Drosophila melanogaster: one gene and its partners. The protein of the gene in region 1 purifies or fractionates together with the protein of each later gene. This does not show direct contact. Each region holds a gene or a part of one and is shown on either strand. Other genes may lie near its edges.

Evidence for each region.
Region 2: the proteins of Mi-2 (region 1) and HDAC1 purify together in Drosophila melanogaster (affinity purification with western blotting; 5 studies listed by BioGRID, with this or other methods). This does not show direct contact.
Region 3: the proteins of Mi-2 (region 1) and MTA1-like fractionate together in Drosophila melanogaster (co-fractionation; 3 studies listed by BioGRID, with this or other methods). This does not show direct contact.
Region 4: the proteins of Mi-2 (region 1) and simj purify together in Drosophila melanogaster (affinity purification with western blotting; 5 studies listed by BioGRID, with this or other methods). This does not show direct contact.

The regions. Positions count from the first base shown.
Region 1 is NT_037436.4:19,905,684-19,913,558, forward strand, and holds the start of Mi-2 (Mi-2), read right to left. Parts: upstream 4,533-7,875; 5' UTR 4,397-4,532; coding exon 4,360-4,396; exon of another isoform or gene 3,951-4,359; intron 3,897-3,950; exon of another isoform or gene 3,515-3,896; intron 1-3,514. Other genes in the region: Prp3 (precursor RNA processing 3), read left to right, coding at 4,795-5,836, 5,891-6,645; Mtr3, read right to left, coding at 6,908-7,737, 7,796-7,875. UniProt on the Drosophila melanogaster protein: ATP-dependent chromatin-remodeling factor which acts in nucleosome-remodeling by catalyzing ATP-dependent nucleosome mobilization. Involved in regulating transcription. Plays a vital role in development.
Region 2 is NT_037436.4:4,623,494-4,631,995, reverse strand, and holds HDAC1 (histone deacetylase 1), read right to left. Parts: upstream 5,263-8,502; 5' UTR 5,057-5,262; coding exon 5,014-5,056; intron 4,577-5,013; coding exon 4,464-4,576; intron 4,386-4,463; coding exon 3,140-4,385; intron 3,045-3,139; coding exon 2,881-3,044; 3' UTR 2,529-2,880; downstream 1-2,528. Other genes in the region: axo (axotactin), read left to right, coding at 1,764-2,180. UniProt on the Drosophila melanogaster protein: Catalyzes the deacetylation of lysine residues on the N-terminal part of the core histones (H2A, H2B, H3 and H4).
Region 3 is NT_033777.3:5,643,575-5,651,903, reverse strand, and holds the start of MTA1-like (metastasis associated 1-like), read left to right. Parts: upstream 1-3,165; 5' UTR 3,166-3,379; coding exon 3,380-3,407; intron 3,408-3,993; exon of another isoform or gene 3,994-4,633; coding exon of another isoform or gene 4,634-4,688; coding exon 4,689-4,850; intron 4,851-7,633; coding exon 7,634-7,741; intron 7,742-8,126; coding exon 8,127-8,329. Other genes in the region: Sec23 (secretory 23), read right to left, coding at 102-650, 719-872, 935-2,184, 2,244-2,522.
Region 4 is NT_037436.4:10,661,390-10,669,270, reverse strand, and holds the start of simj (simjang), read right to left. Parts: upstream 4,533-7,881; 5' UTR 3,901-4,532; intron 1-3,900. Other genes in the region: Adi1 (acireductone dioxygenase 1), read right to left, coding at 4,906-5,043, 5,103-5,196, 5,354-5,481, 5,544-5,621, 5,703-5,825; CG8003 (uncharacterized protein), read right to left, coding at 6,345-6,587, 6,648-7,421, 7,490-7,696.

The DNA of each region.
Region 1 (7,875 bases):
ACGCATCGACACAGAAATGTTTTGAAATTCTGTGCTAAAATCGTGACCTCCACTGTAAACAGTGGGCGCTGGCAATGTCGTTGGCAACAATTATGCACCTTGTTGGCAATGCCGAGCTTACAAGCTGTCGCATTGGCTTAGCGAGCGACTAATTGGCTAATTAGACAATAGTGAAGCGCAAAGAGAGCCGATTAAAATGATGATTTCGATTACATTCGCTAATGCGCTAAAACAGCAGGAACGACACAAATTTGCTGACACAATTACGCATGTTTTGGCAAATGGCACACATAGATTCGCGTGCCATTGTTTTATTTGTTTGTCTGTTTACACACCCAGAAAACATACATAAACCTATATTCGGTGACAATCGAGCACAAATTTGGTTTTGCTGTGGGCCGCAAACGGAGCCCGATAACAATTACAAAACTATTGAACCAATTAAGTTAAGGCTATTAAAAACAGCAAAAACAATTCTGCTTGTTTTTTTTTTTCAGAAACACAACAAGAATAAGAGGAAAATAGAGAGCGCAAGAGAGAAGCAGAAACGGAAACCACAATGGCGTCCGATGGCAAGCGAATTTTACGACGAAACGAAACGAAACAGCATTTGCCATATGACCATTTATGTTTCGGCATTTTCGCTGCGTAAACATTTCCATATGCAAATATTAATGACCTTCACTTTCACCTCATATGCTAAAAAAGCATTTAATTGCAGAGGGACTACAGGTATGCAAGGTGATCTGTGATCACAATCATTAACACATTGCCTATTTGCTACATACAAATATGCCCATCTGTAATTGAGCTTAGATAAACACATTTAAATTGGGCCAGTCAAAAACAAACAATTTTCGAAGAATGTCCAGAGATTTCATTTAAAATGTAACTGGAATGGTAACAATCGATTAATTTTCAATAGTTTGACAACCCTAAAACCATCTCTAATACACTCCCACACACGCGAAACGGAAAGATAGATAAAATTGATCAGTACAACAGGTGATAAGCTTCGATTAATTTTCACATTCCCATAATACTACATTGAATGCTTTAAAAATAAATGAACCCGTACACAATCCGGTACATGTGTATACGTTTGCGGTGGCGGTGACTTCCAAAAAAGAAAAAACGGCAACAAATGTACCATATCAATTGCTGCCTGAATTTTTGTGACAGTGTGCGAGAGTAATGTGTGTGCATTGGCGTAGGAATAATCTGAAACAAATAGCGGCCTTCTCTCCCAGCGACAACAAGACAATTACTGTAAATAGGTGAAATAACAAGACAACCAGCAGTTGCACAAATATTAAAAAGGCACACAGACTGACAGACCAACCAAAGGTATTACGGTAATCAATGTCAAACGCTGCCGATTTTGTGAGTATTTATGTGTGCGTCTCTGTATTCACTCCAGCCGAAAACAACAACACCTTCGCTTCGGAAGAGCGACACACACGCTCATATCAAACCGCTTGGAAAGAGAGAAAGGCACATAGAGCGGACTCGAACGATGCGCGTCAAATGTCAAAATCAAGAAGAACAACAAAAACCATTATCGAAGCGACCTAGTGTTGTTCTACTTGAGAGAGCGTTTTTTGAATAAAAATGAACGTATTTGAAAGCTAAAATAATATTTACTTTTCCTATTTATGTTTCATAGTTTTGTGGACTTTAAGCGCAAGTAAACTTTTTCGAAATGCCAGCACACACATACCATTTACCAATTATACAAGCATATATATTTATAAAGATATGTATATGTATATACATGGCGGATATAAAAAAGCACCACTTGTTGTTGACTTGATTGAATGCAGTGCGTGCGAGCGGGATGGCAAGTTGTGTTTCGCCAAAGCAAGGTAAGATCGTCACCAATACACCAGTAACTGCAGCTCACATACACACACAGTATACTTTCACTTCTTGTATTGAATTTTTGATTTTATTTGTGCTGGCGCCATGTTGTTGTTGTTAGACATGGGGTTTTAAGCAGATTTATGCAGTCGGCAACAGCGAAGCTTTTGATAAAAAAATGACAAGAATGCTCAGATTAACAACGAAAAAATCAAATTATTTGGATCTTTTGAAGATACAAAGTTGCGGTAATGAATGTCATTATTATTAATACATTTGATCGATATGTGCTTTAATTGCATGAAACATTGAAACGGTGTCAAATGCCATTGCGTATTTCTTGCTGTGTACGTAGGAAAAATGCATACGTCATTGCCGAAACCTTCTTATCCCTCTCACACCCTTTTATTGTTGCATTACTGCATAAATAGTGGCACTCATACATGTGCATCGTTTTAGCCTTTTGTAATTTATGCGATGTCGCATTACTCTTGATTGTTTACTTGTGGTAGAGTAATCGGAAATCGGATGGCAATGTTAAAGTAAACAATTTTAAAGACAGCATAGCGCAGCAAATCATAAAAATTATCACAGAACCGGCAAATGGTGAAATTAGGAAGAAGAAAAATGGGGAAGAACCAACGTTGGCTGACGTCACAAACGTGAGGGAAAAGACAGAGCGAATTAAGCATCCTCCTATCGATGTATCGAAGGATAACGGCAGCGAATCCAATTAGAATGAGCACCGAAGGACGGGGAGGGGAACGTGTTAAAATTAGACATTGAATTCTACTCCCACGCTATTTCTCTAGGATAACTTCCTCACGCACGCACACCGTATACATATACATACACACGCCCACAGTGCAACAGCGTCGAACGGAGAAGCAGAAGAGAGGCGAATGAGGGCAGGGACAGAAGAGAGAAGAGGCCTGTAGACAGAAGAGGAACAGCTGCGAACGAATTAACATAAATTGTATGCAAAATTGGGGTGGCTATGGATACTGCTGCTTTTTGTTACACAGCGGCGGCATATTGTTTATCAGTTTTCCTATGAACTACTACTACATTCCAGCAATTTCCTCGCGAGACGGGCACCTTCCCATCCCATCCCTTGGCATCGTCTCTTTTCCACACTCTACTTTTCTCCTTCTTCATCTTACTTGTGTGTTGGCATATTTTGATTAACTCGTTAAAAAGACTATACTTTAGTTGTTTTGCAGGCACTTCGGTAGGATTGCATTGGTAGCTATATTTTTGTTGTTGTTTTTAACTAAATTTAATTTAAACGCGTCGGGTTTCTGTGAGTTTTTTTTTATCATATACGTTGGAGCGACAGAGACGGGGCGACGGCGACGTTTGGCTGGAGCGCGCGTGCATAACACGCACACACACAGAGACGCAAGTACGCGAGAGAGTGGAGAAATCAATCAAGAGAGCACGTCGGCGAAGGGGGAGTGGAAAAAATCACATATGTATGTGCGTCAGTGGAAGTGCGACAAGATTTTCCACAATATTCCACGCATCTTTGTTTCGTTTCTTTAGATATATGCACATATTGCTTCGTTTTCTTTTTGCATTGCTTTCTTACACAATTTATAATATATATATGCATATTTTGTGGTAATTTCAGGTTTTTATTTTTTGCACACACTTTTCATCATTCTTTTTTCGCTTTTCCTTCAGTTGGATATATTACGCACTGGATTTGTGGCTTTACACTGGCAATCGGTAGGCGGTGGCGAGTAATGCACGTATTCCCCTTAATTAACAGTTTTCTCTACAATTAATAATGTAATCTCTTTAACAAAAACTCAGAAATCACGTCATGGCTGCCACGTCCAAGCAACAATGAATGTAAATGGTGGCAGATGAGGCCGTCTGGGCATTCTCGACTAGCTCCAAAAGGGGCACACTATTTTTCTGGTGATACCATTGCACAGCCGATGATAACACTGCATATACGGTAACACCACAATAAGTGTGAACTAAAATGAATTTTCCGTATATTACAATTGACACTTGACAATTCACAGGTAAAGTAAACATCTTAATTGCTAAAGAACTTAAGATAAAACTTAATTTTAAAGGATTTACAGAGTATTCCACTCAAAACTTTCGACCAAAACAACCATGTAAAACATATGTTTTGATGAGTGAGCAGGACGTCTATATATTGCCTGCATTCGCGAATGGAGGGAACACAAAAATGCAATAAAAAATATGTGTGGAATGGAGGAGGCGCAAAAGACCCCAAAAAAACGCGCCACACATGTACAAATTTCACCAATTGCTGTAATACAAATAGTTTATAACGAGGTACAGCAATGACAATGACCAATTAGGATAATAGGCAACAATAAACAATGGGAGGGGGACGCAGCACGCTGCGCGGCTTTGCGGCTCTTGAACATGACCACGGTTCTTAGCCTGACCGAGCGACGGTCGGACCGAGTTTTTTTCACGCCGACATTTGGCCGACTGAAACAATGCACTTACCCTGGAAATTATCGTCATTCTCTTCCTCCGATGCCATTGTAGCACTCGAATGCAACTTTTACACTGTTTGAGCACACGAAATTGTCTTAATTTCCACAACAAATAATTAAGCACACACAGACACGACGAGAAAAAAATAGTCAATTGTAAGCGGCTTCAACAAATATGGCGGAGCGGAGAGCGACAAAAAGTGAGAGAACTAGGGTTGCACCCCGATAAAAGAAAGCGAAACGGTCACACTGGCGACATGACAACCCTGACTTTTATGTTTTTTTAACGACCCTGTCCTAACGTGTTTCGGAGAATTTTTCACCAAAGACCAAAAACCTTGTGTATTGTTTTTGAATTGCAAATCGCTGATTTAAGCTCAAGGAATGTGCCAAGCAGTTGGTAAATAACATTTACTTTTTAGTCCGACCCATTTAATTGCGAATTATGTCGTCCATTATCACGCGCAAGGATGGCGACGACCAGAAATTGTCCAAAAAGCGCGCTGCCGCCTCAGATTCCAAAAGTGGTGGTGGAAGCGCCCTTGAAGCGCCCAAGAAATCCCGCTTCGATGTCCCGGAAAAGAATGGCGGCGGTGGTGAGAAGAAAGAAGAGGTCGCCGTGCCCGCCTCGCTGAGTTCCACGCAGATCAAGCTGATGATGGCCCATGCCCAGCGGGAGATCGAGGAACGCAAGCGGGCCCTGAGTAATCTAAGAGACAAGGATCCGCTGCTGGCGTCAGTTCCATCGATCGGAATGCCAGTTGCCTTAGCCACTCAAGCGCTGGCGAAGAAGCCCACGCCCGAGGACTCGGAGAAGGCCAGGAAGATTGCCGAGTTGCAGGCACAGATCAGGGCCAAGCTTACTGGCAATTTGGCTAGTTTGATTCAGCCCACTGCGGTAGCGGCCGCCGCTGCAGCTGCTGCTCAAGCGCAGGAGCGACCCAAACCCCTGATTCTGGACGATGAAGGACGCACTGTGGACAAGAGCGGACGTACCATTAATATTCCCACGGTGACACCTACATTGAAAGCCAACATACGCGCCAAGAAACGGGAGGTGTTCCAACGCCAAACGGGTTTGGGTGAACGGAGTGAATCGGGCACTTCGGCCCAGGAAGAAGCTATTAAGTACTTTGACGACCGCATAGCCCTGAAGCCCACTGTTAGAACCAAGAGGACGTTGAGATTCCACGAGCCCGGAAAGTTCCAGCAGCTGGCCGAACGAATGCGCATGAAAAGCCAGCTGGAGCGACTACAGAATGAGATTTCGCAAATAGCCCGGAAAACGGGCATCTCGTCGGCCACCAAACTGGCATTGATTGCCCCCAAGCAGGACATGCCGGACGATGTGCCTGCCATGGAGTGGTGGGACTCAGTTATACTGACCCAGGATCTGGAGACGGTAGACGACGCAAGCGGTAAGATAAGCATACGCCAAACAGCCATAACCAACCTTATAGAGCATCCCACACAAATGAAGCCGCCAAGTAAGTTGAAAGCTAGAACATGTCCCACAAGCAACTAACCACCTACTCCTTCAGATGAGCCCTTGAAACCAGTGTATCTGCCGGTTTTCCTCACAAAGAAAGAGCGCAAAAAGCTTCGTCGCCAGAACCGTCGCGAGGCCTGGAAGGAGGAGCAGGAGAAGATCCGACTGGGTTTGGTGGCCCCACCAGAGCCGAAACTGCGCATATCCAACCTGATGCGTGTGCTTGGCTCGGAGGCCGTACAAGATCCGACCAAAATGGAGCAGCATGTGCGCGACCAGATGGCCAAGCGGCAGAAGGCGCACGAAGATGCCAACAATGCGCGCAAGCTGACCAGCGAGCAGAAGAGCGAAAAGAAGCAGCGCAAGCTGAGGGAAGACACCAGCTGCGGTGTACATGTCAGCGTCTATCGCATACGAGATCTGCAGGACAACCAGAGCAAGAAATTCAAGGTGGAGACCAATGCCAAGCAGCTGCAGATGACCGGCAGCGTGGTGTTGTTCCGGGATTGCTGTGTGGTTGTCGTGGAGGGTGGGCCCAAGCAGCAGAAAAAGTATCGCAGGCTCATGCTAACGCGCATTAAGTGGGAGGAGGACAACGCCAAGGGCAATGACGGCCAGGACGTGCCGAACTCATGCGTACTCGTCTGGGAGGGGACTAGTCAGCGACGGCACTTTGGCGAGATCAAGTTTAAGATCTTTCCAATGGAAAAAATGGCCCGTGAGTTTTTTCAGAAGCACCAGGTCGAACACTACTGGGATCTGGCCTACTCCGGAGCCGTGCTTGAGGCCTCCACGGATCAGCAGTAGATAAAAGGCATTTTAAGAATTGCTAGATACACTACAGTTCTACAAATTCACTTTCGGAAAGATACAAGTCTGAATTAAAGTTTTGAAGCGCGCTACGCATTTGATGTTATTATTTTCGAAGCTATTCGGAACTTTGGAAGTGCAAAAATAACGAATAAAAGTTTTATCTGGACTCTAAATATTTGTAGTAATCATTTTTTAAGTGGTGGTTGTTGTTCAAATAGATCTGGGATTTATATTAGTATGATTTATTCTCAACCAACTACTGCCTCTTTACATAGGGATCCTCCCGGATGTTCGATTGTATAAACTCCTCTGGTCCTTGCTTCTTTAGCTTCTCGATTATTTCCTCCAAACGCTGATCTTCTAGAGCGGTCTCGGCTTTCTCGCGTAGATCTAGTTCGTGCTGCTCCTTCACCCGCTTCGTGAGCACGCCTTTGACTAGTTCTCTCAGGGACTTGTTAATGGCCAGGGTGTAATCCAGCAGCTTTACATAGGTGGCTGGACTGAGATATCCGCACTGCTGGCACTGGGCGATCTGTTCAAAGGTATCCATGCTGGCGGTAATGATCAGGCCGTGCTCCTGGGCGGATGATGGGCTGGTTGTGCTATCGGTGCTGCTGTTGCGATGCTTCCAGAGCAGCTCCTCAACCTTGGCACTGGGATTCAGGAAGACGTGATCCCGATAGATACAAGCTGTGGAGGCCGTAATTAAGTCGTAAGTGGAAATGCCGCACTCCACCAAAGCGACTCCGCAGCAATTGATGGCAGTGCTGAGCAGGCAGCCGTCATCGTCGAGAATAAGCACCCGTATGTCCAGCTGAAAGTTAAGGAACTCCGTGCGGCACACCACCGGCTCCATGGCCTTGGTCAGCATGCTGCTCAGGTGGCGTTCCCGTTCCGGCACCGAATCTAGATCCCCTGTGCTGAAGGCCGCAAAATTCACATAGCAATTCAGAACACCCATGTTCATTCTGCGTGCGCTGGCGCGGATTAGCTCCTTTGGCGGGGCCACAATGGCCAGAACCTTGGTGTTACCATACTCCATGTAGGCGGAACCTCTCACTGTGGTCAACACACCGGCGCGGATGACTGTAAGTCACAAGAGGTATGAGAAATTGAAATACAAATAAGGATGTGCACTTCTAACAGGTGTTTCTGGGTGCCAGTTGTGTTGGCTCCCTCGACGGTTTGTCTAGACTCTCAAAGAAATCCTCGCTTTCCTGCGGA
Region 2 (8,502 bases), about 15 Mb from region 1:
AACTTATAAGCAATGCAAGGCATTTTTAAACAATAATTTCATTGGAAATAAATATCACATTTTTCAATGATAAAATTTGTCGCTCTCGAATTAATTTCTTATATTAAATATCAATTGTTTTTATGCTTGGCATTTCCCCGCTATTCAAAAGTAGTGTTTAGTAATAAAACAAATATTTTGTAAAATAGCTCATAAAATAGCAAAAATTTTCCGCATGCGGCAGGTAATAAATTGGAATTTTCCACCTTTGTGCGATGACTTGGCAAAGTTCGTAACACAAACATATTCGAAATGCACGCGCCGCGAAGTATGCAATGAAAAATGTGGTGAAACAACAATGTTAATACGACTGCCAAAGGAGCCCCGAAAGGGGGCGTGGCAGATCGAGGGGCTAAGGAAGTGTGTCAGTGTCAGTGCGATGGATGAAAGTGCAAGTTTTGCTTATTGTTTGCAATGCTGCCACTGCCTCCAGTGCCTCGAGTAACCTTCGGCCAAGAACAATAAAACTGCTGGAAAATGAAACTGAAATGCGTCCCATGCAAATGTGAAATGGAAAAGTATGAAAAGCTAAAGCTAAAATAAAATTTTAAATGCTTTTTTCCATACCCCATGGCAGAGAGTTGAATAGTTTTGTAATCAACTCAGTGTCACAAAATTCCTTTTGTTTGCTATACTGATTTTTATTTTATTTTTTGATTTCATCTCTTTTAGTTTGTATTTTAATTGATATATTCGTTTGAATTACTCATTAATTTCTGGCTAGGATATTTAGCAATCCTATCTGCAACCTTTTTTGCTAACTTCCTTCACTGGGAGGCGACAGCGATGCATTGACATGGCCAACACATTTGCACTTGACTGAAACGCGTTGGCCGTCTGCCTTGTTGTCGATTTTCGGCTGATGCTGGCGATGCCACGCCCCTTGAGAATAGGAAAATAGGGGGGGCTGCCATAGAAAGTCCCGTGAAGTGACTGGCGGGTTTCGTGTTACCAAGACACCATTCGGGCTCCTGACGTGGCGCCTTTTGTTGGCCGGAGCCTTGGGGTCGGGCTTATGGGGCAGCAAAATGGATTTTCGACGGTTTCCGCCATACGGAATGCAATACAGGAGATGCACACACAAGGCGTGCACTTAGAGAAAAGGGAATATTCAAATGATTATTAAAATACATTTTTAGTTGCTTAATAGACAGCTTGATTAAAGAAGTTACCTCTATAAATGTGCTTTATAACTCTACTCTTACATTAAAGCAACTTTTATTTCGTGATTTATACTAATTAATTGTGTACGAACGCATCTTTGCCTCTTATTTTGCATATCAAGTCGAAATAAAAAATAAAATCATAAATCATATAGTCCCTTAGATGTTCTATGTGCACACCTTCATGTCAGTTTAGTGCATTTATTAACAACACAAAGTGCCAAATCACGACAGTTGCCAAAATCTCGTAAAAGACAAAAAAAAACTGAAATAAACTTTTGCCAGCTGAAAATGCAGCTTGAATAACCGTCATCCCCCCCCCTCGCTATCCACTCTGTCTATCTTTCAAAGCCTTTAAATAATTATAAAACTTTATCTCTTCTCTGGACACACGCAAACATGAACCCCTACACTATCGTCCATGTCCATTGAACGTCACTTTGACTAAAGCCAAATAGAATTAAACCCTGAAAAATATTTGATCTAAATTCCTGAATTCCCACCCCGCCGCCACCGCCACCGCCCACCGTTTTTTCCGGACACGCCACACACCAAATCCAGCATCCCATCCAACCTCCTGATGCCATTTTCATGCCCAATCTCCCCCAGAAAGCGCAGCAGCGGCAGCCGCAGGAACACAAATCCCGCCACAAAGCGACCGATGACACAGAGGCTCCAAAGCAGCAGCAGCAGCAGCAGCAGCAGCAGCAGTCCTTTGATGTAGCCACAAATGCCAATGGGTCCTCTCTGCCAGCGAGTCGGGTGAAAAATCCGGAGGAGCCGGGAGGAAAATCCCCATTGGTGCCGATGCGACAGCATCACTCGAAAGTGACGCGCCCACCCCCGCCGCCGACGCTTTTCCTGGAAAACTCACTGCTGCAGCGCCAGTTCGCGAATCCAATTAGTTACTTGGGTGGACCGCGTCTGCAGCCGCGCAGTAATCGCACCAGCATCGACTCGATATTATCGCTGGATTAGCACCGCAGCCAGTTTCCAGTTCTCCGCCCACTGCAATCCGTGGAAAACCTCGCCGACTAGTCACAAACTGTCAACTGGTGGGCGGGAAAACCCCCAGTGGATCCTTTTCTCCCCCCCAAATGCCACAATCTCCTCAACTTAGAAACTCAAAGTTAAAATCTTAAAAATTGTTAGCTAGTCCTAGTTAAAATACAAATAAATTGTTACAAATTATCGTTTAGTTTGTTACTAAGAAACCTAAATGTGGAAACGTAAGTATTTTGCTAAAAATGGGAAATCGAATACTTCCAAAAGAAAATATTTAAAAGATAGCAGCTCAATTAATTTTCCATTAAAATTAAAATCAATAAATGTATAAATATTTTTATTTGATTAAATTAGTTTCTGCGTTATTCGCCACATTGGATCGCTTGTAAGTATGCATTCACTTTTTGCTTAGCTATACACTTTCGATCTTAAAATAAATTGTGTTTCCGCCCACTGATTACTGATTTATCCCCCTTTGGGAATATTCCCACTGAAAAAAAGGAGCCGATCGCAGTGGGACCTTGTGTAGGGGCGTGTAGAAAAAGCCCTGGACATGGCTACGGGGCGTGTTGGTGAAGGGGGGCGCGGGAATGAGACGACACTAGGTGAAATCCGGTGGCTTGTACTTCGGCGGTCGCTTAATTGGCTTCTATAACCAATTGCGGCCGCCACGTCAAATGTTGTTCTCCTTGGCGCCCTTGGCCCCGGCACCGGAACCTGATCCCGAACCGGATCCGGCATTAGCTGTCGCTCCGGCATCATTATCGCTCTTGTTGTTACTGTTGTTGTTGCTATTGGTATTAGACGCCGTCGATTCCTCGCCATCAGCTCCGTCGCCTGAAAACAGCATAATGGTTTAGTTAGTAGGGTTTAAATACAAATTACAAGTGGTCAGTAGAACCAATTAAAATGACTAATGGTTAATCACTCACCCTTTTCCTTTTCGTCCTTGATCTCGCTGGACGTCTCTGAGGATGCCTTGTTGCTGTTGGTGTCCTTGTCGAGACGCGGCCGCTTCCGCTGACCCTTGTACGAACGGTTATCCCTGCGACCGCCTTCGCCCTCATCCTCCGAATCGGAGTACTCGTTCTCGGGCACAATGCGCTTGTCCTTGTCGCTCTGCGGCAGGCGATCATCCTTGTCGACCTTGTCCTCGTCGTCGGACTCATCGTTGATGGCATCCTCGGGAATCGCTTGGATTTGAACGCCCGGAGCGTGAGGCAGCATGCGCAGGTTCTCGAACAGACGGTTCTTGATCTTCTCCAGGTACTCGGATGTATTCTGATTCGTCATATTGCTGGGACTAATGTGCAGCTTAAAATCGGGCCCAAAGTACTCGAAGTAATCGTTGTAGGGCAGTTCGTTGGCTATCTCCACGGCCAGTGCAACGGAGGTCTCATAGGTCCAGCAGCGGGATACATTACGAATGGTATAACCACCACCGCCGACCATCAGGAATGGCAGGTTATATTTCTTCACGAACTCCACGCACTTGCCGTGACCCTTGACGGTGAGATTGAAGCAGCCTAACCGATCGCCAGTCAGCGAATCGGCGCCACACTGCAACACCACGGCTGCCGGCTGGAATGTTTCCATCACCTTGCTGATAATGGGCACAAATATGCTCTCGTACGCATCATCATCCATGCCATCACGCAGGGGTATATTCACCGCATAGTACTTTCCCTTGCCGGCGCCAATGTCTCGCAGATCGCCAGTGCCCGGGAAATACTCTCCGTACTTGTGGAAGCTGACAGTCATCACACGATCGGTGGTATAGAACGCCTCCTCCACGCCATCGCCGTGATGGACGTCTATATCTATGTAGAGAACACGCTGATGGTATTTAAGCAGTTCCAGAATTCCCAGAACAATGTCGTTGACGTAGCAGAAGCCCGAGGCTTCCGATTTTTTGGCGTGATGCAGCCCACCGCCCCAATTGATGCAGATCTCCGAGGCTTGCTTATTCAGTTTTACGGCCGCAGCTACGGATCCTCCGGCGGAGAGTTGGCAAAACTCGTATAGTCCATCGAAGACGGGACAATCTTCGCCGACATTGAAACGCTGCATCTGCTTGTTGTACTCCGACATGTTGTCCGGCCGAATGGATCGCAAGAACCGGACGTACTCGTCCGAGTGGAACTTGGTCATCTCATCGGCAGTGGCTTTATGGGGACGCTAGAATAGAGAAATTCGCGTTTAAATCTATCATATATATATATATATCTATCATCACATATTAATAAAGTAACTCACGTATATTTCCATTTTTCGATAGAGCCCATAGTTGAGCAGCAGGTTGTGGGTCATGCGTATGCGATGGGGCTTCATGGGATGACCCTGGCCATAGTAGTAGTTGCCAATGTCGCCTATGGATCAAAAATCGCAATTATGAGCACGTTGAAAAAGTAATTATTTGCCACGCTATGTGGAATACAAATTTTAAGGCCACTGTCGGCGAGGCGTCTGCCTGAGAGCAGCACTTTTTCCGAACGACCGCAGTAGTAGCACTTTCGCCCCGAACGAAAAAGCAACAAAAACACACAGAAGAGGAAGATAGACATCAGGTACATACACACACAAACGCATACAAACGCACTGCGGTCGTATGGAAAAAGTGCGCTGTGGACCGGAACGCGCTCGTACAGTCGCCGTAAAACTTGAAATTTGCAAAAATGCTATCATCTGATGCTAAGTGGATGCGGAAAAAACACAAAGTCGACATGGTAACCCTAGCTGGCACTTTGTAAACACAAATTACCCATCTAGTAGGCCTTTTACTTCCATTTAAATGCTCAAAACTTACTGTCGTAGTAGTAACAAACGCGCTTTTTGCTGTGAGACTGCATTTTGCGGTGCTGTTGGCGGGTCTTAAATCCCCTTAAAGTCGATGTTTTTCTATCCTTCGTCGATCGGATGAACTTGCGAGCTCAGAAGATGGTTTACTTTGGTGCCGGTCCGATTTTTGGCACTTTGGCGCAACTATATAGCCAAAATCGGAGCGCACAAGACAAATTCGCGAAGAGGAAACCTCTGCAGATGGGCAGTGTGACCGCGGACTTTTTTAAATCCACACTTCCCGGCTCTGCAGAATATACTTTTAATACTAACTGCATGAATACCGAAAATACCAAACAAATATATTTAATTATTTATTAAAGAAATATATTTAATAAATTTACATATGAAATACGATTACCCTCTTCATACAGAGTGGTCATTTTTTATTAGATATATAAACAATCAGACCTATGTACTTATCAAAAATTATCAAATATCACGACATATTTTTTGGAAAAATAGCAAGGATCAATTATAAGTTTATAAAGCAAAGTTTATTGGCTAAGATCACGTTGCAGAGTCTGAAGCTGGAACTAGAGATGTTGTTGGAAAACATTTAAGTTTAAGCATTCGAATAAACTAATTGATTTCAATATTTTCTATACAAATATAAATGATTCATTATAATTTAAGAAAAACAAAAACACAGAAGTAATAGGTTGTAGTCCGGGGTAAATAATGTTAAGTCGATTAATCGATAGGAATCCATGCTAATATCGAACTTGGCCCATCGCCAGAGGGTGCATTCCCTCTCTCTCTTTCAGAGCATCACCCATCTCGCTCTAAAATCCACCGCAGTTTCCCACGATTTTCCTTCTCACTCTAAAATTCACCGTTGAACGACTCGGACGCGATTTTCCAGCGCGGGTGATTTTCCTCCTCGGTCGGCGTTTTTCGGCGGCTTCTTATCGACAAACAATAGTGCTCAAGTACAACGAGATTTTGTAGTGTTTTGGAGTTGCTGAATTAGAGGCGATTGTTAATTGAATAAAATTAATAAAACGGCGACGCGTAAGTTTCCAACTCCCCCATGTGCAAGTGTGCGTGTGTGCCCTGTGTGTGTGTGTGAAAAAAGAGAAAGAAGAATGGAGTTGCAGTGGAAACACAAACACGCTCTCTCGCTCCATCTCCCTCGCACGCACACACTCACTGGGCGAATGAAGAAGTGGAAAAATTAAAACCGAAGTAAAGTGACAAAGCGAAGTGGCCAATAATGCAAGAAAAAACATATGAAACCCGCAGTGAACATTTAAAACAAAATTAACATTTTTCATAGGCGGCTAAAATATCCTGCGCAGCTTTTCTCTTTCCGACTTTTCTCTTTTTCCCTTAAGAGTCTTTTCCTATGCCTTTCCCCCTCGGAGACCAACGCCTCTCCTTCGCAACTTTCTGTTACTTTATGTTAACTTCTCCCCTTCTTTCTCTTGGTTTTCCTCCTGTATTTTTCTCTGTTGTTGTTGCTGTGCCCGCAGGATATTTAAGACCTTTTTTTGCTGGCGTTTAATTATAGTTTTCATTGCTCTCTCTCCTTCCCGCATCTCTTTTTCCAATTAGCGTCGAAGTTCGGCGTAAAGTAAACAGCAAAAATATAGTATTTGTTGTTTTTATTTGGCCCGCAGACCGTGCAGTAAAAACAACAACTTTAACAGGCGTAACTGTAAAGTCCGCTTTGCTTTTGATAGCAAATAAAGAGAATCGGAATCCGCAGCAAAGTTTTGATTTATTCTAATTAAAAAAGGTAAGTGCGATATAAAACCGGATTATAGCTCCTTTTCATTCGCACCTCCTTGGCCCGAAGTGCCGTTAGGAAGAGAAGCCAATGAACGCAAATAAGTAAACACAAAAACTAAAAAAAAGAGTGCTAGATTTGCTCTCCCGCTGCATTTCTATTTATGCTTCTGTGGCTGATAATGTGTACAGTGAAAAGTCGAAAGATGAAAAAATAATGAAGAAATGGAATAAAGCTTAACTTAAGGAATCTTAAGACTTGTTGTTTGTTATATTTCGACACATACTAACCATTTCTTCAGGCTTCTTTGCGCTTAAAAAAATACCCAATTGGAGTAAATTTGAAAAAAAAAAAACATTTCAAGCTTTATGATAATTTGGTTCTAAAAATTTATTTGCAACCACTAAATTGTGTTTGGTTCACTTTATCGACGGTCTACCGTATTTAGTTATTGCTCCGGCTGCTGTAAAAAGTCAAAGAGCATTTGTTGTTGCTGCTATTGTAATTGCTTCCAATTTGTGGAGAGCCATTGGATGACGAGTGAATGGGGTTGGGGAAGGGAGATGGAAAGAAGAAGCTCAAGAGCAGCAGGCGTCGGCGCAGCAGCTGCTCCTTCTCTCTCTCTTCCTCTCGCTCTTTCCATCTGGTTTATCCCTTGTGCGCTATTTTCGGCATTTTGTGCTTATTTATTTACCTTTTGGTGGCTTGTTTATTAACCCCTCCTCTTCCCTTCTACTCTAAATCGCTCCATGTGCTTTGAAGTTCAAGCCACAAAATTTGTTTTTATTATTTTTTTTATTTGTTCGTTTCTTTTTTTTTGTACATTTGTAGCTTATCTGTTGCAGTAAAGTTTCACCCTCACTCCAAAAATTTAAACCCCTTCAATTAACATTGCTGCCGTCTGTTTTCTGTTTTTGCTACTTCTTTCCTTTTTCCCTCAGTTGTCTTTCCTTTTTTCTCCTTTTACTTTTTGTGGCCAGCCGCTGATAAAGACCGCAAATAGTTTGTCTTTGCTTCACATTTTTTGTGTACAGTGGCTATCGCTTAAAGGTAACTAAAAACGAAACAGGAAACTTAATTTCAGGAAGTGCAGAGAAATTCCAGTCCTGAGAGCGTTACTTCGTCAGAACTCGATTTGATTCTTTAAGATTAATTAAGGTGTATTGATACTCGAATTTGGTGAGCTCATTTAAACACCTTAATATAAATATGTGTGTGTACGTATCCGAATCACAAATCTTATCTGATTGTGACCTTTATGTTGGCCGTTGAAAATCATAGCCGTTTATCACTGTACAGATTTATGGCCGCTTCTTCTGGAGTCTGTTGCTCTTTAACCCTTAATTGGTGAGTGGGGGTTTTCAATGGAGATCCATTTGAGTGCAACTGGGCAATTATGCTGTTTGGCCGCTGTCCGCTCCTAAGCCCCATTCCCTTCGCCCTCCATTTTAGTGCCCCCTCGTCTTTGACCCCCTGCTAAATCATTGCAAAATGGCAATCGCAAAATGCTCTCAAACAAGTAAATCTGCTTAGCTCGACTAACGGCAAACTTGTTGAGATCTTTTCATTTCTCTATTTTGCTCGCAGTTCGCTCGCTGTTGTTGTTCTTCTTCAAATTTCCTATTTTGCACACAAAGCGTTTTACATGATACGGACGACCACAAAGGCATAGAGTCAATCGAAAAGGGGAGCGGGTGGTGGATGAAGGGGATAACACAGCGTGGG
Region 3 (8,329 bases), on another chromosome or scaffold:
ATTGAGATTTCGATTGAGATTAAATTTTCGATGACGCCAAATGGAGCGCTGCAAAGATCAATCAAATGTGGCCAGTTGATGGCGCTGGCTGCGAGACTCACCTGCCCGTAGGCGTACATGTTGTTGTGCGTCTGCGAGGGATTGACCTTGGACAGCAGGAAGCGGGCCTGGGATCCGCCGTGCTCCGTATCGATGTAGCGAGGCATGGGGAAGCGCGTCTGAAGAATCTCTTGCGCGTCGTCCACCGGTGCTTGCAGCAGCTGCTTGAAGTTCTCGTACTCTGGCATGTCCTGGTATTTGAGGGCTCTCCACTGGGCGATGGTCTCGCCGTGGTAAATCAGAATCTGAAAGAACGTGTCCATCAGGAGGATGCGATCCGCCTGGATGGAAGCCGTATCGAGGAGGACCGGTTCTGGAGGGCCGTTGAACGAGTAGCTGTAGAGAATAGGCTGGATCATGATCAGCGATTGGGTGAGGTCCTCGCGCATTAGCATGTGTCGATAGAATGTGGTCTCGTCGGGCGAGTTGTTGAAGACCTGCAGGAACTGCGAGCGGCGCAGGTGGTACATGAATTGCGGGAATAGGCTGAAGTTTTGCGACAGCCTGAAGCTGTTGGGATCGTCCTTTGAGTACTCGCCGAACTTTTGGCACTGTAAAAGGAAAGCATTTACAATACTAATTAATTGGGCACGAGTAATTTTGCACATTGAAAACTTACCAGACGAATCAACTGACGATCGACCCAGCGCAGAATGTCGGGTCCTTCGTCAGTCTCCGCACGATAGACGACCATACGGGCCATCAGAACTGCGGCGGCCTCCTGATCGAAGCCAGCGCTGATGTGGTGCACGTTCGAGGTGGCATCGGCCCAACTGAAAAACAAACAGATTGAACCACGTAAGTAAACTCTGGGCTGATTTATGCCAACACATACTTTCTGGCCAGTGTGGTAACTCGGATTCGCCGCTGTCCACTTGGGTGCTGGTACTGCGTAATGAACTGTATGCAGCCACGCCCGCCCTGCGGAATGGGGGCTGCATGCTGGTTGACCACCTCAAAGAAGTAGGCTACGGTGGAGCTGGGATTCAATGTGCACAGCTTCCACTGCACCGTGTTGCCCATGCCGATCTCCACATCCGACACCGACGGGCTCTTCACATTCAGCGACACACACGAGCCGATGCCACCGGAGATCTTCAACTCGCGCGAGCACTTCACCTCCAGCGTGGCATTGAAGGCCATCTTCAAGTCGTTGCGACCATCACGTGCGAAGACGCGTTGGAATGTCTGCTTGAAGAGCGATGAGTTGAACGAATCGCCCATGACCATGTGGCCGCCAGTGGAGTTGCATAGCTGCTTCATCTCCAGCAGTCCGGTTTGGTCCAGGGCACACGAGTATATGTCGACACTATGCCCGTTGGTGGCTGCCCGCAATGCCAAAGCATCATAGTGTTTGATAGCCTTCTTCATAAACCGCACGTTGTCCTTGTGGATGTCGTGATGCGAACGAATCGGGTGCTTCAGCTCGTCGTCGACCACCTGGCCGGGGCCCTGGGAGCAAGGGCCACCCACGAAGGTCATAATGCGACCGCCCGTATTGGGATAAGTGCACTCCAACAGGCCCACCGCAATAGATAGGGCGGCACCAGTGGAGCGCAGGTAACGCTTGCCCTGCGGCACCGGCCAAGGATCGCGTTGCAACTCGCTAAGCAGATCGCCCAGCGCCGCGTCGCACTGGCCGATCGGTTGCAAGAAGCGATGGGCGGGCGGCACAGGGGCCGCCGCTCCAGCCGGCTGGCCGGGCAGGTGCTGCTGTTGCTGCGGCCCCGGAGCCGCTCCACGCCCAATTCCGAGCATATCCTGCACCTGCTTGGCAGTCAGGTCCTTGGTACCACGAAACACATAGCTCTTAGAGCAGCCTTCCGCGCCCAGCTCGTGCACCTGTATCATTTTTCCGAAGGTTATCAGACCCACGAGAGCGTTGGTTGGCAGCAGACTTAGCGACATTTGCAACGAATCCTTGAGGGCGTCCAGCTCCTCCTCGTCCATGCAGGTGTCAACCAGGAAAATGAAGACGGGCGGCATGGTGGGGGCCCGTGTAATAGTATACTCAATAGTGCTGAATCCCGGAATCAGCTCCGCTGGTTGGTGCTGCTCGGAAATGGCAGCATATTGAGGGGGAAACTGGAATAATGACTGTCATAAACTGCCGCAGAGAGTCTAAAGATCACCATTGAGCTCACCGGATTGCGCTGAAAACAGAAGTTGCACACCCACAACTTAGCACGGTAGTCCACCTGGCACAGTGGATTCAGGATGGCCCTGCAGTTGCTGCGAGTGCACAAGACCGGCTCATATTGAATAGGCGGTAGGTCGGGGCGCTCCTTCAAAGGCTGGTAAAGACAAGCTAGGGGCACCACCAGCCGACTGGCTTCGATGCGACTTGAGGGCCACACATTCCACGTCAGCCGCACTCCGTCGCGGTCCTCGTTCTGCTGGATGAACTCCTCGTAGGTGGTCATCGCCGGAACACTTAAATGTAATACTTAAATCGGAAAAACCTCTGTTAGACCTCTGCCAATTGGAAAAATCGGTCGGTCAGGCCACGTCACGGATTGACAGCGAGTCGTGACACCTTTCGTGCTGGCGACGGCCAAAATACTCACGCGAAAGTAAACAAATTCGCGAGATGAGTCTTTAAGAGGCTCTTCAAATCAAAGCACTCACTCTGGAAACAATTTATACAAACGTACAAAACGTAGAAACCTAGACTACGAACTATTACAGAATTTTAAGTGCAAACGTTGCATGTTAGGGAAGACAGTTTTCAAGCGATACTATCGCATGCGCCCCATGCGATTGAATGAATGTTTTAATATGAGAAAAAAAGGGTGAAAATAAATATGTTTTGAAAATGATAAATAAAACAAGGTTCGCCCATAATTTTTTCAGTTAATTTTCTTAATGATATATATTGTTATTCAAGAAGTATATATAATATAAATAAATATAAATCGTATTCCTAGAAAAGCCCCTTATCGTTTTTCTTATCGCCCCAACTAAATTTTAACATTAAGTTTTTACCCAACACCCCATGTATCGATTGCTATCGATGGCCAAACTATCGCACCGTGGAGTGCATCCCTGGTGCAGCTGTTTACTCGGCATTGTGTGTGTGTGCGTGTATTTTTTAGAGTTGAGTTGTTTCTAAGATGGCGACGAAAAAAACGCGTCTTCTTATGTGAAAAATGCAATCATAACAACTCGAGTTTTCTGCTAATAAATGTGCGCTAGTTTGGAACAGGACCATTGAAAAACAGTGCTAAGCGTGTGCCGAGTGTTTTGCATGTGAAAGTTTTGGTGCGGTAGCGTAGTGAAAATGGCCACAAATATGTATCGAGTCGGAGGTGAGAAAAATTTTCGCGTACTCGCTTTTCTATCATCTTTCGTTATCGGCGCCGCCGTTTCACGGTGTGCGTGTTCGCTTCTGCATATGTGTGTGTGTGTCCAATGTGTGCGTATGCGTGTGTGTTGTGTCTGAGGAGGCTTTCCAACAATAACGAAAGTGCATTTTAATTGCCGAAAACCCTTTAGTGGGAGACCCGACGCACGTGTATGTGTGTGTGTGTGCGTGTATTATCAATCTCAAGAACAATCCGTCGAAAAGGAGAGACCTTTTCTATTTTTTTTAACTTCTTTGAAGGAGCCCCCTGCTGCTCTTGTGTCGCAGCTGCAGCAAGTGTTTTCGACGTGTTCCAACCGATAAGCATTAACTTATGCCCTAAGTGTATGCGTGTGTGTGTATTCTAGGGCTGGGGAACTGAATTGCATTTGCATTTGGATTTGGTTTTGCCGAATTGTGATCTCTCCAGCGTGTGTGTTTGTTTGACTATGTGCGAAAGTGTATCTCACTTTTGGGCTCACCGCCCACCCGCCTTTTTGTGTTTTCATATGCTAATGAGCTTTTGAGCATCTCCCCCCATCTCACGCCTCCCACTCCTCACCCTGCCTGACGCACTTTCTGTTAGCCATCTCGCTCGCGCTCGAGCGGTGACGTTATTGTGTTGTCTTCACCTGATTTTCGCAAGTGTGTGGGTGTGTGTGCTCTTTCGAAATGCAAATAAGCTCGGTCGGATACGCAAGCTTTCAATTAACGGAATCAAAATAAATATTAATGGCATATATACTTGTCGAATTATCTGCTCTTTATCGCCGAGAACTTTTTGTCTCCATCGGCGTTTTTTGTTAGCCGTTTTTAATGGCCACGCACACAGTTACACACCTTCGGCAATGCTTTCTCGCTGCCTCCACACTTTCTTTTTCATCTCTCTTCATCTATCTACCCATCTATCTGTGTATCTGCATCCCAAAATGTAGCAGAAGTGCACACGACGTTTGTATCTATGTATGTATGTACATACAGATAAACGGAATTTCTTTTATTTTTTATAATAGTCAACGACAGGTTCCGCTGCAGTTGTTGTAGGTATAAAGTTATATGGATGGATAGACCCATATGTATTTAATTGCGCTTTAGCTGGTAGTGGTGGTCGCACTTAGGTGGATGCGTGTATAGGTGTATGTGTGCGCTTACCTGTGACGTATTAATGGAGTTGCAGCCCCCCACCCTTCCATGCCCTTTTCTGACCCTTTTGCATCAGCCACCTCAAAAACTGTTTTTTTTTCAGACTATGTTTACGTTGAGACAACGCCGAACAGTCCCTACTTAATACGACGCATCGAGGAGCTGAACAAAAACCAAACCGGCAATGTGGAAGCGAAGGTCATGTGCTTCTACCGCCGCCGGGATCTGCCCAATCCGCTCGTGCAATTGGCCGACAAACACCAACGTGAGTAGAGAAACCCTGTTCCCTCGAAACCGCATCCATATCTTGCGTTACGTTACCTCTAAGTGTGTATATTTATTGTCAACAAAGTGAGGTTATGTTGCCAAGAGTCGTTGTCGTGGCCTTCAAACAAGTTAAGAGTTAAAACCTGACGACCAGATCTGCTAAGCACATGCCCACCACAAAACAACAACAAAATGAACCCGTAAGGGGCACCACTGTGTGCGCTGTGTCAAGGCATGTGGAAAGCGAAGCCACCCACCGAACCACCCAACCTCCCACAGTGCCACCCCATCCCGCAATCCTAGTCAAACTTCCTGAGCAACAAGAACCGCAATGACAACAACTGTGAGGGCGGAGCGAAAACGGATTTCGTCCAGCATCCGACTCATCCACATAAACAGGCAGTGGAACCTTCAAACAACCTGCCACATCAACTGGCAGTGTAACCACTCTACTTCGAACCAGAAGCACCATTGATCTACGTTCCAGTAGCGCAATTTGAATTATTCGTGTCGCAAATTAGAAAAAGCATTTAGCAAATAGTCTAAAAAGATATTGGTCATAGAAACTAGGTGTTTTGGGAACTGGTAATGAACATAAACACGCATCGTGGTGCGGAAATAGCCTGTAAATTATTAAGTTCAACCTTAGGCATACATATGTACATACGTTAAGGTGCCACCGGTTTGCTCTAATGATGCTCGACTGTAATGAGCTGGGCTGCACTATACTACCCGTAATGCGGTTGTTGCTGTTTTCGGTTGCTGCTAGGCGGCGCCGACGTCAATGTGAATGTGATACTTGGTTCGGCTGTAGGTAGACTACAGTAGTAGTCTGTCTACCTCTGAAAAGCTGCCACACATACCCATGCCCAACCCAACCCCAAACCCACTGACACTGCTGCTCTGTGTGCACGAAAATGTTCAAGTCAGAAGTTGGGATCTGGAGGGGATTGGAATGGAGCAGTGGAGTGGAGTGAAGCTATGGCGATGTGGCACACGCAGGAAGGCGCGCTTTGCATTTGTGTATACATACACACAGCGCCTTCATCCACTTCCTCTTCGCCGTTCCAAAAAACTCACAAAAACCATGCCCAATTGGGTTGAATTTTTGGCTTTGGCCACCCACTCGAATTCGATACGTGACCGTCGCGAAAATGCGTTTTCCGTGGGTCTGACCTGGCAGAGCAACCCACCCCAATCCACCACCCCATTCTACCTCCTACACTCCCACAAGACCAACAATGCCCATTAACACAGCCCCTTTCGGCCCCAACATCATCGGACCACTGTCATCTTGCTTTATTTTTAATATAAGTTATCCATTACGCTCCACGATCCAGTTTTTATTTGCGTGCGTCGCCTTTTCGCAGGCCACTCGCTAATCAGGCGCAGAAAACTAGCGTAAAAATATACATTTGAGGCACAAGTGTGCCGCCATTCCAACCCCAAGCTACGGACTTGATGCAAGTATCTTTGAAAGGTGGTTTTCCGAACTCCAGAAACACTTCAAAACCTTTAAAATAAAATGATTACTATATTTTATACTTCTGTTTTACTTTCTGTTAGTTTCTGTTCTGTTTGCCACTAGGAAAATGGTATTTTGTTAAGCTTAGAATGAAATATCTAAGTACTAGCCAGTACTTACGATCATTAGCATAACATTATATTTACTATTTTAATTATTGTTAAATGTGATAGTACATAGCTCACAGCCTAAAATAACCACTCTCAGCGGCTAATCACATTGTCAATAGCAGACCTTGAAGTTTGCCGGGAATTGGAAAGGGTATAGAAAGCAGATACGCTCGAATGGCAAACAAATCCCGCAGCGGCGCACCCACCCACTTGTGTGTCCTATCTATGGCCACCAAATAACGCCCAAGCCTTTACCCCTCCACCCACCACCCACCGCCATCCACCATCCTCCGCCCCTTTTTGATTGCTCTCGCTTCGTCTTCGAAACAAGCGCAAAATACAAATACACAAATACACGTACCCAGCTTCGGCTCTTTTCTGGGACTCAGGCCATGCACCCACGCCCGTGTGTCCGCCGAGGAGGTGTGGTGGTGCTGTCCACCGCCCACCTCACCTTCCTCCCCTTCCGCCCTTTGCGAAATGCCAAGCGTATATTTTTTAATCAGCCCAGCGAACTTCCAGGAAATTCATGAGGGTTACTTTCGGATTTCACAAAACACAAATTCCGGGAAAGCTGAGATGTATATTATATAGATAACGTTTAGATTCAAGTAGCGTCACTTTATTAAAATAGGGACATACATACATGTATGACCTTTCTTTGAATTCGCTTAAACATTTTCAATTGTATTGCTTGTATAAAAAAAAAATAATATTATTGATAATATATTTGAAGTATAGGAAAGTTGGACAAATTGTAAAACAACCAGGAATTTACTTTTTGCTTGAAGGGTTCTTTGCTCATCTTTTAAATTTGTGTATCCTAGGGAGTTGTTTGGTCTTTTGGTACATTAGTGCGATTTCATATCATTTATGCTTGGTGAGTCCTTATCGAGAAGGAATATATATGGTCGTCATATATTTGTTTGTTCGTATTACCATCCTGCATCCTTAGTTCCTTTGCCTATGACAACGACTCTTAAAAGATTATTTCTCACCTGTCTTCGCATTCAGGTGTCTCTTTCAAACTTATTAACTAAAATGCTTTAACTTATAAACATGATCTCTGTCGATGAACGCATTTCCCCAAAACGCACCAAATCATACTCCTAACCATCTTAAATCTAAAATAACGCATCGCATCAGTGGCCACCGCCGAGGACTCACCGTTGGCGACCAAGCTGAAGAAGACCTGGCTCCGCACACCCGTAAGCGAGGAGCAGGCGGCGCAGGCTGTGCTCGATCCCTCAATAGGTACCACCTCCAGATGATTACTCAAATACTATCTCTGCCACTTCCGTAGACCCGTAGACCCAGACTCAGACTTATGCCCTCATTTTGTATGTTTTGCACTTTATGTAGAGCACGATGGTAATTTCAGTAGTGTAGTAACCTATCTAAGTTGATAATCTTTATGCATAGTTCTATTCTGGTTAATGGGATCATAATTTATTTTTAAATTCAATATACCTGATATGGAACACCTGATTTGTATTATTATATTTATTATATTTATATTTATTATATTTAAATTTTATTTCATTTTACTTTAAAAGTTAACTCTAGCTTAAATAATCAGTCACCATCTTAAAATTCCGAACCGAATGAAAGAATCTAATGATTTGGCTTATTCTTTTAGCTGCCCTGGATGAGGAGCGCACCAGTCCAACGCAAACGTCTGGCGGAGGAGGCTCAGCCACCGGGAACTCCGGCAGCAACAGCAGCGGCACTTCCAACAACAACAGCAGCAGCACTGCCATCGGAGGTGGAGCGGGAGGCTCCGGAGGTGCAGGAGGCGACGCGGAGAAGGGCGAAGCGTTGACCAGCAAGCAGCGCTATCAG
Region 4 (7,881 bases), 9.2 Mb from region 1:
GTTGAAAGTATGGAAAATCCAAATAAACGAATTCCTTTGACTCGCCCACCATCTGACCTTTTCACTCCGCTGGGGGATTTTTATTAAAATTCTTAGACTTATTGCTAAAGTATTTACAAGAATTCCATGATTTATTGTTTAAGTTATTGGCAAAGGCATAAATTCTTTGTACATAGCACATTTGTACATTTTAGTAGCAATATCTTTGAGTTTACTTAGAAAGACAAAGAGTATGATGTTCTTGGCATCGATAGGTGACCGAATCTTCCCTGGCTTTAGCTGTTATCGTAATCGCCATCACAATCGCTCTTGAATCGCTTGCGAACTTTGATTCATTGTTCTCGGTGTTTGTTGTTGCTGTTGCTGTTGCAGCTGGGCTTTTGTTTTACTTGTCAACAGAGAGTTTAGTTTGGTGCATCGGCTTTGGCTTAGGTACTGCAGAAACCCCAACCCCTTCGCCGCCCTGGCAGCAATCACCCTCGAGCCCTTGCCCACCCTCTGCCCATCCAAACAAAAACAACAATGCTGCGGACGCTGCATGCAACTATTGAGGCATGAACATGCAATTTATGTACCTCTGTATGTGCGTATATGTATGTATATACCTACGAACTATGAAATACAACAACAGCAGCAATAAGCGACTGTACTTTTGATATAAAATCCACTATACTCCACACTCAACACTCTCCATACATGGAAAACCAAACCAAACCAAACACACATACAGTTCAGATGTGTACGTATGTATGTATATAGCACCGAAAATACTCCCCATCACCTACCGCCCACCACCCACCGCCCACTTTTAGAGACACCCACTTGGAGTGGAAAGCTCTGTTTAGTTTTAGTTGCGCTTTAAACTGCATTTCGGCTTGCGATGCCTTGTTGTTGCAAGCTGTACATAGAGCATTGCATGAGTGGCGACAGGGGGGTGTGGCGGTGGGCTGTGTTACTTGTGCAGCAAACGAAATAGAAAACAACTGCAATATGTTTGCTTCCCCGGAATGCAGGAATGGAATAGCCAGAAACACAGCTCCACTTGCAATGCATTCGGCAGATTGAGCCCAAAAAACAGATATTACACCCGAAACATGCCCAATCGCCAACCAATTGCAGTTGTCATCTAAAAATTGCAACTTTTACAGAAGCCTATCTATAAGCATTGGGTGGTAACAACTTTGAAATGGGACTGGCTTGAATCAAAAGTTTCCATGAGCATGGAACAACCAGAAGAAATCGATTAGAAAACGGGCAGTTCTTAAATTTATGTGGGACTTAAACAAATAGTTAACTTTATGCTATTCTAGCATTTGCCACAAACTAACCTATCCTAACTATCATAACTTTACAATGATGTACATTGAAAAGAAACCATGTTAAAGTTATACCGTTTTGGTATAATATTTTATATTTATCATTAGCTCCCTTTTTGTGTGTGCTCTTAAGCATAAGAAGTACTTCCTGAACTTTTGACCTCTTTAAGCGAAATTAGATGAAAATTTCAGATATCGATAACAAGTGCCAGGGGGGGTGGGGAGAGGGAAATGAAGTGAAAAGGGGAAGGAGAAACGAGGAAGAGGAAGAGCGCAGCGATACTGCAAAGCCGTCGACTTTTGTTGCTCCACTTGCACAAACAAAAACGCACGAAAAGACGAAAAGAGAATTTCGGCTATCGAGCAAGCTCCCCTAAACTCACACACACAAACACAGACACTGGCAAACTCACCTGCAAACTCAGGTAAATCGACACGCGTGTGTGTGTGTGTGTGCGCGGGTGAGTGGTACCTGTGTGGAGCTGACACGGCAACAAACAAAGGTAACGCTAAAATCTACAGCGATAAATCTAGAAACCGGGCATTCTAGTTCCCAACCTACCAGATATATTTTAACTCTTTCGATTCACTTTTTCCATGGCTAATTGGTTGGAGCTACTAATTATCAATTAATTACATTCGCATTTTATAGATATGTATATTTTATTTTGTTCTACAAATGTGTAAGACTTATTATTTGCATTCTATTTGATTTTGCCTCATTGAAATTTATAGAAGTTCAAAATTCTTATCAATCATTGATTTTACGATAATACTTGGCAAAGATAAGAATTCGCATAGCTAAAAACTCATTTTCTTGAAATAAATCTTATTACAAATTGAATTACCGATGGTTTAATAGTTTGGAAATAGGTTCAGCGAACTTTTAACTCCTCTTAACTTTCGGATTTCACCTGATCCGCTGTGAACTAGTTCAGATATAGCCACCCCTCCCCCACCCACAGAGAAACCAAAACAACAACAATTGCAATTACAGCAACACCAACTAAACTATTGCAACAAGCAAGAACAACAAAAACTACTAGAAATGCGGGTCTGGGTCGTAAAATCGAGACCAAAAGCAGAGAGCAAAGGAGCGGAGAGAGGAGGAAAGGCGAAGAGAAGTGCAAAGCGGTGGCAGAGGAGGATGGGGAGACTCGACGAGACGTCGAGAATGCAGTGCACATAAAGAATGCCAAAATAAGTTTAAAACTAACGACGAACCGGGTTTTAGTGCGTGCGTCTGTATGCGAGTGTGTTTGTGTGTGGGAGCGAGACAGCCAGCAAGGTGGTTTTTTGTATGGCTGTGTATTTGTATTTTGGAGCATGCAACATTGCCGAAAAATGCGTGCGCTGCGGGATGGTTGAGAAAGAGAGAGGGGGGAACCCCAAAAATGAGAGAACCGAATGGGAGAGAGAGTTTGCGAAACAAGTGCATTTCTGCATGAGTGTATGTGTGCGGGGGGTAATTTTCGAGAAATTAACAAGTGTTGCAAAGCTCAAAAAGTGCGTGCGGGTAATTAGCAAGTATAAATATGTAAAACAGAATCAAATACAAAACGAATGGGAAAAAGTTCATTAACACAGTTAACATAAAAGACCGCCAACAAATCTCATTCATAAGCGAGAAATGTGTGTATAGATAACGGGAACGGAAAGAAAAACGAACAGCGGCGACAACCCCTTCCGAATACAAAAAGGAAAAACCGCGGCAACCCAGTCGAGCGACACAGGAAAAAAAGTAGCAGCTGAGACAAGCTCCTAAGCATGGCGTCCCAACAACAACAGATAAAAGCTGTAAAAATTGTCAATATAGAAGAAAGAAAGGCAGGCTGGCTAGCAGCAGCAACAACAATAACAGGAGGGGGGGGGCAGAAGAAGAAGCAGCAGGCTTTGGAGCTTTGCGAAATAATGCGCGAGAGTTAAAGAAGAAGCCGCCAACGCCAACTGCGACGTCGGCAGAGCATTTTTAACGAGCCGAATGACAAGCGCACACAAACAGAAACACCAACACACACAACGGCACTTATGCAGATGCATACAGTCGAGGGCGAAACCATAGCAGTAAGATCAGAGCGTAAACATTGAGAAAATTAATAAATTCAAATTAAAAATGTGTGTTAAATATTACCTTAAAAAACTATTGAAGTGTTTGGCGTTTAGTAGTAATTCATATTACTTTCATTGTTTTGATAACAATACATATAAGTATTTAATTCTAGTGCCAATCATTAAGCTATTGTACATTTTATAGTTTGTTTTGTAAGACAGTTTTAACAACCAACTTTTGGGTTTTATGACTTTTCTTAATTGCCACTATTGCATTGACCTCGATTGTTCAAACACACAACCACACGCACACAAGGAGGCGCACAGATGGGCGACATGCATACGAGACGCCGCAGCAGCAGACCGGTTGAGGTTAAATTGGATAGTGGCAGTGAGAGAGAGAGCGGGGCGAACGAGAGAGAGCGATTGGAGATGGAGCATACATATACATATTGAATTTTTCCTCTTTGGCGTAATGAAAATTTTAGCACTGTTTTGGGGCAAGAAAACGGGGGAAAAAAACAAGAAAACTTACCCGCGTGTGAAAATCCGTTAGTCGGTGGCGCCTCTGCCGCTGCGCTGCTGCTGCGGAACTCCTCTCGATTTTTCCAATTTCGCATGCACAAAACTATTTGGATTTCACTTAATTAATTACACTGCTTATGTACCACCTTATATATGCACTTATGCGTTGGTATGTATGTATATACGCCTCACCAACACACTTGCAGCCCGCGCTCTGCTGACGTCGACGCCGCTGCCTTTTTGCGGCTACTTTTCGAAATATTTTACACGCACTGCAGAATATACTTTGTTTTATATAAATATTTTTGTTTGTCTTTTACTTTGCTGTAAACTTTATACGCAATTTGTTTACTATTTCAAAGAGAGAGTGAAACACACAAAGACATAGACACACACGTACACACACACAGATAGGCCGCTTTAAGCATTCGTGTGCGGCATTTTATTAATCCACGTCGATTTGTTTGTAAATAGATAACGATACGATATTGTATTGTATCCGCCGAATCCACAGATAACGACTCGATTTAATTTCAATTGTGCTTTTTCGCCGCTCCGCTCACGCACACTACCTCACACACACAGACGAGACCGCGTAGCACGTCCGAACGATCCGAGAGATGAAAAAGTAAAAAAGTGTTTGTTTTGTTTTCCTTCCTAGCGATGGCACGCGCATCGATGTTGGCTCGATACTTTCGCTGGCGCTTGGGATTATATACTTGCGCTGTTTTTTCTCTTCGGCGCTGGTACGGTCATACCGCGAATTGTACTCTCTGAGATTCGAGTTCGAAAGTACGTTTAGCATATGCAGCAACCAACTAAGAGATAAAATTCGAAATCAAGTTTTTGGCGGGGTTTATTGATATAGAAAATAGACTTCGAATTCTATATCAAAACTACGTTAATCAGCGAAAATTGTAAGTTAAACAAAAAACTATTGAAACTATTGATTATACACAGCGATTTTATATTTCAAAATATCAAACTTGATGGTAAAAGATAAGATTTAAGGTTTTTAAACCTTATTGAATTGCACAAAGTTTTCCGACTGATGCTTGATGTACGATTTGCGACAGTCCATTTCATCAGCAGGACGATTGTGTGGAGCCCAGACAGGTTCGCCCACAAAATAGCGACGAGTTCTGATAAAGTTCTAAGAAAAAACAATACAAATAGTTTAAGTTTGTATATAAGATTGTCAAAATAACTTACATTGGTATCCAAAGTAAAGCGGTGATATATGCCAGCTGGTATAATGATCAGATCTCCCTTGACAACCTTAATGCGCAACCAGTTGTCCTCATTGCTATAAAGAATAAATAGTTTTCCGTTTTAAAACAATTCCAAAAATGTTATTAGTGTGAGCAAAAACAATATCAGTAAGAATATGAATGCTTGAACTATTTAATTGGGAAAATGTGGCTGGGATACTATAAAATGCGGTGTAAATAAACAAAACTTACTCGCGAACATCAAAGTAACCGGATCCCTCCAATATCAGGCGAATTTCCTCATCCGTGTGCAGGTGTTCGGTGAAAAAGGCTTTCAACTTGTTGGCATAGTCTGGAAGGCACTTTTCCGAGCATGTGATCTGTAATAATTCGAAGTTTACCAAAGTTCGGTAGATGTTTTTCAAGAAAACATCGATCTTGCCTCATCATCGTAGGTGTAGCCACGTTTTGCCCTCAGTTCCGTGAGGGTATTATCGCTCTGGTACTCGTCCGCATTGATCTGCAAATGTGAATGATCAAGATAAGCTCGCCCCCAAGGTCACTTAAGGTTTTTAAAGTCGCAATTTCGCTTTTCACTTGCCTTAAAGTATTCCACGCCGGTCTTCTGGTACAGATCATCCAGTTCCAAGTAGGCAGGCGGATTGCGGTGGTGCTCCAGGCGCTGATCGGTTTCCTCCGTATCCATATACCAAACCTGCACCATTTTGGACTGTTTTAAACGGGTTTTCACGAGCAACGAGCAACAAATAGATTAAACAAGAAAAATTCAACTGGCATCAGCTGTTCGTTTTCGAATTTTCGAAATCGATAACAGACACTCAGGCGAATGCCGCTAGTGCTGTTAACTTAACATTCGAAAATGAATGCTGTTAGTTTTGTGTTCGAAATACTGCTATTTTAAAAACTTCATTTTTGAAATGTTCGATTTAAAACGTAAAATAACCATAATTTTAATAACCTTCAAAAGGAGTTATTTTTCTATTTTTTTTTTGTTCCATTATTACTCTTTATTATTTTACGATAGATATACGATTTTTGGGCAGTTTGTTGTATGTTTTGACTTTAATTGAATTTGTAGCGTGCAATTTTGCCTTTCGTTACTATTATCTAGTTTAATTTGTGTAGACATCTGACAGTTTGGTACTAACAATCTTTTAGTACGCGAAAATGCTAGGTTTCTGGTTTTATGTTACATTTATTGGCGTTACAAAGGAGCACAGGATTACGCAGTCAGTTTGGACAGTTCCTCGCGCAGCTCGGCCGTGTCAATGGCTCCCTTCGCTTGCGATTGCGGCTGGGCTTGGGCTTGGGCTTGGGATTGGGCCAGGAGGCGGGCACAGTTCTTCTTGTGCATGAACCAATGCAGCCGCTGGCATTCGCGATCGCAATACTGCACCGCCTTGCACTTGGAGCACTTCTTGTCCGGTTTCTCGGCGCCGCAGGTGCTGCAGTAGTTGCCCTCGTCCTGAAAATTAGTTTTCCAGATTAGAAAAGAATCATTTGATTATGAGATCATGATACCCACCGTAATCCACCTCATCCCATTGATGGCATTTCGCAGGACAGTCAGTGCTGGTGGGGCATCCTTGGCGCCAAATTGCGTTGCGATTTGCCGGAAGATGGTGCACTCTCTCACGGGAAACTCCCTGGCACATTCGCGCAACGTGTATTCCACATAGTCCAGCTGGCCCAGCTTGTTCTCCTTGAGCACCCGCTTCACAAACATCTCGATGAAATCGTTCTTGTTCGCATCGCCCGCCTCCTCGCCACTTTTCTCCTTGTGCTGCGCCTTGAATTGCTCCTCGCAGCGTATTAGTTCGGCCAAAATCCAGCCCTGATAATGGAACTTGAAGGCCAGCAGCTCGTTGAGGTCATGCGACTTCTGCATCTCCTTTTCGCACATCAAAGCCAGCGTCTTGCGCAGACTGGACAGGATCCTAAGCAATCCCAAGGACTGCACATTCAGGGCAATCCTCACGGGATGCAGGTTGATTTCGGTGACAAAGGCGTGGAACGATTTGAGTAAGCTGGGTGGTATATGCGGCTCCGTCTGCTGGCCATGCACTTGGGTGTAGTACTCCAAACTCGACTGGGTCACATAGTTGTTGATGGTCTCCACGCAGGCGTGGTTGCCCACAAAGGCGGCCATTTGGGCGGCGGTCCTGTTGACACTATTGATGCTACCCGGCTTGATGCCAGCATCCAAAAGAAGCCGGCACACATGTGTATTGCCCGATAGAGCGGCGAAATGCAGTGGCGTATAATCAGCTCCATGCTGATTGAGGTTTATGTCGGCACCCTGTGGAAGAAAAGGCGGTTATTTCATGTTTAGAGCCCAAGCGGTGGTTGCCTGGCAGATGTACCCACCATGTCCAGGAGCAGCTGCACCGCCTCGCGGTTTCCCTTGAAGCTGGCGTGGGCCAAACACGACATCCCGGTGTCGTCCACGAAATTAACATTCCTCACTCCGCTCAGCAGCTGCTTGAATCCACTGGTGTCATTCTTGGCCAGATGATCCAGCAACTGGCGCTGCACGTCGTCCAGCTGTACGATCTTCTTGCTTTCCTCGGTCATTGTGATTCGATTGTTTGTTTTTGTTGGATTTTTCAAGTGCTCTTCGGAATATGGAAATCAAGAAACTCCACTGTTTTCGGCGTGCTTACAGCGATACTGTCACAGTTTCACAACACTGTCCGGCGGTTGGCGTGCGATATATCGTTACGATATGGTACAATAAGAAACTAAAACAATATCATATA